Macaca fascicularis: one gene and its partners. The protein of the gene in region 1 interacts with the protein of each later gene in a pairwise test. Links are inferred from orthologs where the notes say so. Each region holds a gene or a part of one and is shown on either strand. Other genes may lie near its edges.

Region 1 (3,650 bases):
AGCTACTCGGGAGGCTGAGGCAGGAGAACGGCGTAAACTCGGGAGGCGGAGCTTGCAGTGAGCTGAGATCCGGCCACTGCACTCCAGCCTGGGTGACAGAGCAAGACTCCGTCTCAAAAAAAAAAAAAAAAAAAAAAAATATTCTATGTTGTCTTCTTCCAGGAACCTTCACATTCATTCAGACTTTGTAGTTTCCACATTTATTTGTCCAGTTGATACAGCATTTGAGATAGTTTTACTGTTGAAAATTATGAGGACATTTGCCCTCCAACTATGATTGTATATTCCATGATAATAATTTTGTTTCTTTTATACCCTATCAGCAAAGACTGTTGGAATTGTAACGCCCAGAAAACCTGTCTTATCTGTCAGTGCAAGAAAAATTAAGGACAATGCGGCTGATTGGCATAATTTAATCCTGAAGTGGGAAACCCTCAGTGATGCAGGTTTTACCGCTGCAAATAATATTGCCAACTTGAAAATCAGTTTATTGTAAGTACATATTGGTTTTTCATGCTCTAAGTTTTTCACCCTTAATAACTGGGGAAATATCAACATGAATAAATTTGAAAATAAAATATTAAGCAAAAAAAGCAAGTGGTAAGATGACACATGAGACAAAATTATATTCCTTTTTTTTTTTTTTTTTTTTTTTTGAGATGAAGTCTCACTCTGTTGCCCAGGCTGGAGTGCGATGGCGCAATCTTGGCTAACTGCAACCTCCACCACCTGGGTTCAAGTGATTCTCCTGCCTCAGCCTCTGGACTAGCTGGGATTACAGGCGCCTGTCACCACACCCGGCTAATTACTGTATTTTTAGTAGAGTCGGGGTTTCACCATGTTAGTCAGGATGGTCTCGAACTCCTGACCTCACATGATCCACCTTCCTCAGCCTCCCAAAGTGCTGGAATTACAAGTGTGAGCCACCACGCCTGGCTATTCTGATTTTTAAAACCATAGATTCTTTGATTCTTTTGTAGTTCATAGGCGTGATGATTGGGTTTTCATGCTCATGTATGACCTGTGCCTTCCTCAAACTTTGCTATGATGTTGACACAGTATGTAGCTGATATGGAAAAAACTACCATGGATTCTTTTTGTCCATTTTTTGATTTTACATAAACAAAAAACATATGTTAGTGTTTCCTTTATGTCTCGCTTTCTTTTTCTATTTTTATTTTTGGAGATGAGTCTCACTCTATCCCCCAGGCTGGAGTGCAATGGTACGATCTCAGCTCACTGCAACCTCTGCCTCCCAGGTTCAAGCAATTCTGCTGCATCAGCCTCCTGAGTAGCTGGAATTACAGGTGCCTGCCACCAAGCTCAGCTAATTTTTGTATTTTTTGTAGAGACCGAGTTTCACCATGTTGGCCAGGTTGGTCTCGAGCTCTTGACCTCAGGTGATCCGCCCACCTCAGCCTCCCTAAGTGCTGGGATTATAGGTGTAAGCCACTGCACCCAGCCATGTCTCACTGTCTTTCAACATGGAAGCCATCCATGTAATGTAGAGCCACTATTCTGGTTCTGTTCTTTCTCATTGCTGTTTAATAGTGTTTACCCACATTAGACCTCTCAAACTCTGCCACTGGTTTATCAACTAAGTTATGTAATGTTCTCAATCTTTTGTTGTCATTTCAGCAATGTGCACAGCATCTTTCCCAGGAATAGGTTCCATCTCAAGAAACCACCTTCTTTGCTCATCCATAAGAAACAACTCCTCGTCTGTTCAAGTTTTCTCATGAGATTGCAGCAATTCAGTCCCATCTTCAGACCCCACTTCTAGTTCTGCTTCTCTTGCTTTTTCCACTGGCAGAGTAGATTTAACATCATTCTTAAGGGCCCTAGGAGTTTGAGAATGGTAGATGAGCACTGGATTCAACTTAAAGTCACTAACTGCAATATCCCCTAACGAGAGGGTCAACCTGTCTCTTGAAGCTTTGAAGCCTGTCATTGACTTCTCTGTAGTTGTGAATGTCTTGGATGACATGTTCTTCTAATAGAAGGCTGTTTCATCTACATTGACAATCTGTCATATCGTGTAGCTACCTTCATCATTGATCTTAAGTAGATCCTCTGGATAACTTGCTCCAGCTTCTACATTAGTGCTTGCAGCTTCACCTTGCACTTTTATGTTATAGAGATGGCTTTTGTCCTTAAACCTCATGAACCAAATCCTGTTAGTCTCAAATTTTTCTTCTGTAACTTCCTCATGTCTCTCAGCCTTCACAGAATTGAAGAGAGTGAGGGTCCTGCTCCGGATTAGGCTTTGACTTAAGGGAATGCTGTGTCTGTTTTGCTCTTCTGTGCAGACCCCTCAAACTTTCTCCATATCCACGCTAAGGCTGTTTCACTCATCATTCACATGTTCACTGGAGTAGCACCTTTAATTTTCTTCAATAACTTCTCTTTTGCCTTCACAACTTGGCCAACTGTTTGACACAAGAGGCCTAGCTTTTGGCTTATCTTAGCCTTTTTTTTTTTTTTTTTGTACAGATGGAGTCTCGCTCTGTCGCTCAGGCTGGAGTGCAATGGTGCAATCTTGGCTCACTGCAACCTCCGCCTCCTGGGTTCAAGCAATTCTCCTGCCTCTGCCTCTCGAGTAGCTGGGACTACAGGTGCATGCTGCCACGCCCGGCTAATTTCTTTTGTATTTTAGTAGAAATGGGGTTTCACCATGTGGCCCAGGCTGGTCTTGAAATCCTGAGCTCAGGCAATCCACCCGCCTCGGCCTCCCAAAGTGCTAGGATTACAGGCGTGAGCCCCCGCACCTGGCTCCTTATCTCAGCTTTTGACATGCCTTCCTCACTAAGCTTGATCATTTCCAGCTTTTAATTTTTTTGTTTCTTAAATTGGCCAAAGTATAGCTTTTGATTTAAAATGAGAGATATGCAACTCTTCCTTTCACTTGTACATTTAGTGGCCAATGTAGGGCTATTAATTGGCTTGATTTCAATATCCTCCTATTTCAGGAAATAGGGAGGCCCAAGGAGATGGGGAGAAATGGGAGCAGCCAGTCAGTGGAGCAGTCAGAACACACAACATTCATTCATTAAGCTCGCTGTTACATGTGAACATGGTTCATGGCACCTCAAAACAATTAAACTAGTAATATCAAAGATTATCAATCAAAGATCGTAGATATAATAATGAAAAAGTTGGCCGGGCGCGGTGGCTCAAGCCTGTAATCCCAGCACTTTGGGAGGCCGAGGCGGGCGGATCACAAGGTCAGGAGATCGAGACCACAGTGAAACCCCGTCTCTACTAAAAATACAAAAAATTAGCCGGGCGCGGTGGCGGGCGCCTGTAGTCCCAGCTACTCAGGAGGCTGAGGCAGGAGAATGGCGGGAACCCGGGAGGCGGAGCTTGCAGTGAGCCGAGATTGCGCCACTGCACTGCAGCCTGGGCAACAGCGTGAGACTCCGTCTCAAAAAAAAAAAAAAAAAGAAAAAGTTTGAAGTATTGTAAGAATTACCAAAATATGATACAGAGACATGAAGTAAGCACATACTATTGGGAAAAATGGCGCTGGTTGATTTGCCGTACATACATACACAGGGTTGCCACAGGCCTTCAATTTGTAAAAAATGCATTATCTATGAAACTCAGTAAGGTGAAGCATAGTAAAATGAGGCATGTCTGTATTCCTGGAT
Region 2 (3,650 bases), on another chromosome or scaffold:
TCACACAGCGTCACCTGTGCCACATTCTGTTTGTTAGAAGCAAATCACTGAGTCTGGGCTTCACTCAAGGAGGGGAAATCAAGCTATACCCTTTGAAGGGAGGTGTGTCAAAGCATTTGTGGGCTTTTTTTGTTTGTTTGTTTTTTTGGAGACGGAGTCTCACTCTGTCACCCACCCAGGCTGGAGTGCAATGGCACGATCTCGACTCACTGCAACTTCTGCCTCCCGGGTTCAAGTGATTCTCCAGCCTCAGCCTCCCGAGTAGCTGGGATTACAGGCACCTGCCATCATGGTTGTGGGTATATTTTTAAACCATCAGTAGTATGCAGGAACCTGTTTTTCTTTTCTTTTTTTTTTTTTTCTTTGAGGTGGAGTCTCACTCTGTCACCAGGCTGGAGTGCAGTGACGTGATCTCGGCTCACTGCAACCTCTGCCTCCCAGGTTCAAGTGATTCTTCTGCCTCAGCCTCCCGAGTAGCTGGGACTAGGTGCACACCACCATGCCCAGCTAATTTCTGTATTTTTAGTAGAGATGGGTTTCACCATGTTGGCGTGGATGGTCTCAATTTCATGACCTCATGATCCACCTACCTCAGCCTCCCAAAGTGCTGGGATTACAGGCATGAGCCACCGTGCCCAGCCTCTGTTTTCCTTTTGTAGTCCAGCTTTTGAGTTTTTATAACTCAGTCCAGGTTGAGGGGATGCTGCTGTTTTTTTGAGAGAGACAATCTAACATCAGTAGGTTTTCAGACTGCTATGTCAATGTATCTTATAAATCAGATACATTGACCCTCTTTTTACCATCAACCTTTCAAATCCTTGGCCATTACACACTTCTGAGAAACTGCAGCCCACTTACATTTTTGGAATCTAGCAGCTAAAGTGGCAGTGTACAGTAGTGTTACAAGCAGGCAGTAGAGCCCAATAGCCTGGATGTGAGTCCCAGTAATGCTACTTACTGGCTTATGTAATTTGGGCAAGTCCTTTAGTCTCTGTGCCTCAGTTTCCCTATATGTAAAACAGAGCTAATGATAACTACTTGTAGGGTCACTGAGGAACAAATGGGCTGATGTGTGTAAAGCTCTTAGAACAGTGTCTAGCACATAACAAGCACCATGTCAATGTTAGTGGTTACTGTTTTATCTAATTGCCTCATTTTGAGTGAGGCAAACAGCTTGATTTTCTTTTCCTTTCCTTGTATGAGTTCCTGTTTTACATAAGAAAGGTAAAAAATGCAGGGCTTTTGAGCTGCTTTGGCTCTTGTTTGATCCAAGGTGGAAGAAGTAGAACAGCCTGTGTTTTAAACTCATTGCATGTAAAAGTTTCTAATATGCCCATGCTTTTGTGCTCAAGTTTTGATTTACATTTTATCACATTTCAGATAGTAAGACCCACAGTCTGAGAGGTGACTCCATAAAACAAGAAGAGGCCCAGAAAAGCTTTGTTGACAGCTGGAGACAGAGATCAAACACTCAAGGTACCAGAATCCCTGCTTCTGCAGGGGCCTGCATGGCTCTGAGTGATATGCAGAAGAATTGCCCAGGCCTCTGAGAACCGGCGCCCTGGGCAGTCCTTCAGGGAGTCCAGGGAAGTCAAAGTATGTGGCTTAAGCAGAAGACTTTATAAAGTGGAAAGGGCCAAAGGCAGGTATGTCCCAGAGCCTTCCGCACCCACAGGCATCTACCTGGGGCTTAGTGGCAACTTAGAGGACAGTTGGCATCCAAAGAGTCCTTACTGTTTCCTTCTGAGGCCACAGAAAAGATCTCCCATGTCAGAACCTTCTAGAGTCACCTTGTCTTCACAGGTTCCATTTTGATAAACCTGCTCCTGAAGCAGCCTTTGATCCCAGGGTCATCCCTAAGCCTGTGCCACCTCCTGAGTAGTAGTTCTGAGTCTCCTGCTGGCACCCCCCTGCAGCCACCAGGGTTTGGCAGGTAAGCATAAGACTCCTGGAAAGCTTGTTTGGGAAGGAGCTTCCTGGAAGCAAATTCCTTTCTGGTCCTAGCCAGCCTGGGAAGTCTGTGGGAAGGGCAGGGAGCCTGGAGAATTTGGCAGGCAAGCTGTTTGGGGCCCTTGACCTTATCTCCATCCCACACTTACCTATTTTTCTTTGTGTTTGTTGCCAGTACCTTGGCTGGAATGTCAGGCCTCAGGACCACAGGTTCTCAGGATGGGTCATTTTCCCTCTCAGCCCTGAGAGAAGCACAGAACCTGGCATTCACTGGACTGAATCTGGTTGCCAGGAATGAGTGCTCACGTGATGGAGACCCAGCAGAGGGAGGCAGAAGGGCCTTCCCACTCTGCCAGCTTCCTGGAGCCGTGCATTTCCTCCCCCTTGTACAGTTCTTCATCGGCTTACACTGCCAGGCCCTGCAGGACTTGGCAGCTGCTAAGAGAAGTGGAGCACCTGGGGACTCACCGACACATTCCTCCCGCGTGAGCTCTGGGGTAGAGACCAACCCTGAGGACTCAGTGTGCATCCTGGAAGGCTTCTCTGTGACTGCACTTAGCATTCTTCAGCACCTGGTGTGCCACAGCGGAGCAGTGGTCTCCCTATTACTGTCACGAGTTGGGGCAGATTCTGCTGCTGGGGAAGGAAATGGGAGCCTGGTTCACAGGTTTAGTGATGGAGATATGACCTCAGCCCCAAGGGGGGTTGCTGATGACCAAGGACAGCACCCACTGTTGAAGATGCTTCTTCACCTGTTGGCTTTCTCTTCTGCAGCAACAGGTCACCTTCAAGCCAGTGTCCTGACCCAGTGCCTTAAGGTTTTGGTGAAATTAGCCGAAAACACTTCCTCTGATTTCTTGCCCAGGTATAAAGCAGCATAGGAGTCATGATTCTTTGTGGGTCTCACCTGACCTGTTAAGGTCTAACCCGTGTCTCTTGTACTTTGCTCACATCTTGACTTATCTACACTAGTTAGTTCTAAGGCCTGGTTCAGGGAGTTCTGAAGTGATGGGAAGTGGGACCAAATGGGAGAACCAAGGAAGTGGTTTATTTGGTTTTTTTTTTTTTTTGAGACGGAGTCTTGCTCTGTAGCCCGGGCTGGAGTGCAGTGGCCGGATCTCAGCTCACTGCAAGCTCCGCCTCCCGGGTTTAGGCCATTCTCCTGCCTCAGCCTCCGGAGTAGCTGGGACTACAGGCGCCCGCCACCTCGCCCGGCTAGTTTTTTATATTTTTAGTAGAGACGGGGTTTCACAGTGTTAGCCAGGATGGTCTCGATCTCCTGACCTCGTGATCCGCCCGTCTCGGCCTCCCAAAGTGCTGGGATTACAGGCTTGAGCCACCGCGCCCGGCCGTTTATTTGGTTTAATTCTGCCTCTGAACAACAGGTAAGCAGAAGGCACACATGATTAAAGGAGGCTGCTAACCTCTGTGGAGGAGGGCCCTGTCCCAGAACAAGGGCTAAGACAAGGGGCCTCTGAACCTGAGATGTGGGTAAGGTGAAGACCATATATCACAAGCACGTTGAAGTTTAGTGGGTTCCCTAAGGAAGCAGAGGATGTGGGGAGGATCTGCAGGCTGACCTTGCTGGAGTCTCTGCCTGTCATTGTGCCCATCTTTAGCATGCATCTGGGGTGGCATGTTCCTCTTATGGTTTGTGGGTAGTAGTATTACAGTGAACCTAGCGAATGAACACTGATCAT
Region 3 (3,650 bases), on another chromosome or scaffold:
GAAGTGCAGTCACATGATCTCAGCTCACTGCAACCTCCTGGGCTCAGGTGATCCTCACACCTCAGCCTGCTGAATAACTGGGACCACAGGCATGCACCACCACACCCAGCTATTTTTTTTTTAATCTCCATATTCACATTTCCCAGAAAACAGTTACAGAGTCCCTTTTGTGACTTTGCTGTTTCCTGTGCTCACACTTTTTCTTCCATTGTCTTGCGAAGTCTGACCTGACTTCCAGTACCGGGGTAGGTTATTTGTGAACACTGATGGACCATTTTGAACATGGATCTTCAAGAAGAGTGCAGACAGACCTTAAATAACCAGGAAGCACACTGAATGTAAATCTTGGTACATCATGGGAGCTCAACAATGTTTGTGGTGTTCATTTCCAAGTCTTGCTCTCTTGAAAGCACTAATGCTTTTCCCGAGGTGACCCCAACCTATGGATCAACAAGTATTAGTAATACTATTACTTAATCTGTTTTGTAATAAATCTAAACATGGTTGTGTAGTTCAACCACTGTATTTAAGATTTCCCTAAATACATGGCAACTGATCTTTGAAACATGTTATTTGGGTCCTATATGCTCACTAAAATTTAAAAAAAAAGGACAACTCAGAAACATGAATGTTATCCTACCGATTCGCCTCAGAAATAACCACTGTTAACATTTTAAAATAATTTTTAATCAGCTGAATTTGAGTCAGACCACTGTTGACATTTAAAAATACTTTTTCTAGGCCGGGCGCAGTGGCTCACGCCTGTAATCCCAGCACTTTGGGAGGCCAAGGCGGGCGGATCATGAGGTCAGGAGATCGAGACCATCCTGGCGAACACAGTGAAACCCCGTCTCTACTAAAAATACAAAAAAAATTAGCCGGGCGTGGTGGCGGGCGCCTGTAGTCCCAGCTACTCCGGAGGCTGAGGCAGGAGAATGGCGTGAACCCGGGAGGCAGAGCTTGCAGTGAGCCGAGATCAGGCCACTGCACTCCAGCCTAGGCGACAGAGCGAGACTCCGTCTCAAAAAAAAAAAAAAAAAGAAAAAGATAAAAATACTTTTTCTTCATGACATTTTTTAAGGACAGGTGTTTCTTACTTTTAGCAGTAAAAAGAAATGAGATATTAAAGAGATGAAATTCACAGCTAATCCCTCAATTCTATTTTCATGTATAGCCATCTACTTCTCCTGTTGAACTTACATGCTTTTTAGGTAGCATTTTTGGTATTTTAAATTTTATCTCTTTTTTATGTTCCCTTGTAGAAAGTTGACAGATAATCCCTAAAGCTGTTAATAGATTGGCAATAAGAAGGAAAAGTAAAGACAATATCTAAGTTAACAAGTAGTTGCTATGTGACGGGGAACTGAATGAATTATATTTTTCCCTGGACAGATTTCACAGAGATGATGAGAGCCCTGGGATACCCTCGACATATTTCTATGGAAAATTTCCGTACACCCAATTTTGGACTTGTATCTGAAGTGCTTCTCTGGCTTGTGAAAAGGTTAGAACTGCACTTTATTGATGTCTAAGAGTGAATACTGGATTTTATTTGTTAGTCACCTAGAAAACAGGACATAGTTGTGACGCTGCAAAAGGAAGAGTTGTTTGAGTTTGACAGACCCAATTGTAATCTGTTGAAACGTAGCTGTGGCTGGGCACAGTGGCTCGTTCCTATAATCCCAGCACTTTATAATCTCAGGAATTCGAGACCAGCCTGGTCAACATAGCACGACCCTGTCTCCACACACAAAAGAACAATTAGCTGAGCGTGGGTGGTGCACACTCATAGTTCCAGCTACTCAGGAGGCTGAGGCAGGAGGATCACCTGATCCTGGGAGTTTGAGGCTGCAGTGCCACTGATCATGCTACTGCACACCAGCCCGGGCAGATTGAGACTGTGTCTCAAAAAAAAAAAAAAAAAAAAAAATCAGTGGAGTTTAAAAAATGCTGTGGGAGAGGGAAATATACCAGGAAGTGGTGAAAGGAGACTGACTATTCCTCAGTAGGGTGCTGGGCCAGGCTGCTCTTCAGCCCCTCACTGCAGAGTGACAGGGGGGCCTTTTTGCACGTTCTAATCAATACAGTTGATTAGAAATAATGTAGGTTTCTTTTTCTGTGAAAAATTGAATATGATATATGATTCAGGGTTGGCAGCTTTTTCTGTTAAGGACCAGATAATAAACATTTTACCTTTGCTAAACATAAAATTAAGAGACTGCATACGATCTCTATTGCCTCTTCTTTTTATTAAAATGTAAAAAGAGTTCTTAGTTTGGAGGCTGTACAGGTTGGAGGCTGCAGTCTGCTGACCCCTGGTATCAATACCTTGAAGAAAATAACTTCGTCAACTCTGCTGCTGCTTAGAGCTGACTAATCAGCCCTAGTACTGCTCTGAGTCAAGGGCCGTCAGCCAGGGTAGCAGTTCTGATTAGTTTCATGATATGTTGAGGTCTGAGAGAGATTTAATTTTATAAGCTGAGACCCACATTTAGTTTTTGAAATCTTTTGTTCTTAGGTGGGGATTTGCTCCCTTGGTATTTTGGTTTTACTTTTGAAGTTTGCATTGATCTTACTATCACACTTGGGGACTTGGAGAGCTTTGTTCCAGACCCCCTGTCCTCTCAGTTGCCCACATTCTCTTTAGTGGACTTTCTCCTTGGTTAACCTGTGCTCTCTCCTCTTATCTCTCTGATAGGTATGAGCCCCAGACTGACATCCCGCCTGACGTGGACACTGAACAGGACCGAGTTTTCTTCATTAAGGCAATTGCCCAGTTCATGGTTAGTGGACACTTATTTTGTGGAGTTGTAAAATTAAGTAAACTAGAAAGGATGACTCCTCGTTAGGGCTACTTTGAAACTGAGTAATTGAATTTTTCTTTCTTTTTTTTTTTGAGATGGAGTCTCATTCTCTCGCCCAGGCTGGAGTGCAGTGGTGCAATCTTGGCTCACTGCAACCTCCACCTCCTGGGGGGTTCTCCTGTCTCAGCCTCCTGAGTAGCTGAGATTACAGGCACACGCCACCACACCTGGCGAATTTTTGTGTTTTTAGTAGAGACTGGGTTTCACCATGTTGGCCAGACTGGTCTCAAACTCCCATCCTCACGTGATCCACCTGCCTTGGCCTCCCAAAGTGTTGGGATTACAGATGTGAGCCACCACATGCCTGGCCTGAGTTTGCCTTCTAAAACCATTCCATTGCTGGGTTTCTGTGGCGCCATTTCACCAGCGAAGTTCTTTTTGTTTGTTTGTCTTTTAATTCATTATTTGTTAAGAATTTTGTTTATACCAGGCATGGTGGCTCATGCCTGTAATCCCAGCACTTTGGAAGGCTGAAGCAGGCGGATCACGAGGTCAGGAGATTGAGACCATCCTGGCTAACCACTAAAAATACAAAAAATTAGCTGGGTGTGGTGGTGGGTGCCTGTAGTCCCAATTACTTGGGAGGTTGAGGTGGGAGAATGGTGTGAACCCGGGAGGCGGAGCTTGCAGTGAGCTGAGATCACACCACTGCACTCCAGCCTGGGCAAAAGAGCGAGACTCCATCAAAAAAAAAAGAATTTTGTTTCTTTATTTTTGAATAGGTAACATATTTCGTGGCTCACAGATTGAAAGTAGGCTGGGTTTGGTTGTTCATGCCTGTAATCC

What was found.
Region 2: the proteins of CINP (region 1) and ATRIP interact in binary tests that used the Homo sapiens proteins (3 or more experiments, as listed by UniProt). The link is inferred for Macaca fascicularis from reciprocal best matches to the Homo sapiens genes CINP and ATRIP.
Region 3: the proteins of CINP (region 1) and CLUAP1 interact in binary tests that used the Homo sapiens proteins (3 or more experiments, as listed by UniProt). The two-hybrid records come from large-scale screens. The link is inferred for Macaca fascicularis from reciprocal best matches to the Homo sapiens genes CINP and CLUAP1.

What each region holds. Positions count from the first base shown.
Region 1 is NC_088381.1:170,470,660-170,474,309, reverse strand, and holds part of CINP (cyclin-dependent kinase 2-interacting protein), read left to right. Parts: intron 1-321; exon of another isoform or gene 322-323; coding exon 324-492; intron 493-968; exon of another isoform or gene 969-1,072; intron 1,073-2,493; coding exon of another isoform or gene 2,494-2,615; intron 2,616-3,650. UniProt on the Homo sapiens protein: Component of the DNA replication complex, which interacts with two kinases, CDK2 and CDC7, thereby providing a functional and physical link between CDK2 and CDC7 during firing of the origins of replication.
Region 2 is NC_088376.1:111,425,256-111,428,905, forward strand, and holds part of ATRIP (ATR-interacting protein), read left to right. Parts: intron 1-1,380; coding exon 1,381-1,476; intron 1,477-1,803; coding exon 1,804-1,933; intron 1,934-2,125; coding exon 2,126-2,815; intron 2,816-3,650. UniProt on the Homo sapiens protein: Required for checkpoint signaling after DNA damage. Required for ATR expression, possibly by stabilizing the protein.
Region 3 is NC_088394.1:4,278,493-4,282,142, forward strand, and holds part of CLUAP1 (clusterin-associated protein 1), read left to right. Parts: intron 1-1,392; coding exon 1,393-1,504; intron 1,505-2,698; coding exon 2,699-2,783; intron 2,784-3,650. UniProt on the Homo sapiens protein: Required for cilia biogenesis. Appears to function within the multiple intraflagellar transport complex B (IFT-B). Key regulator of hedgehog signaling.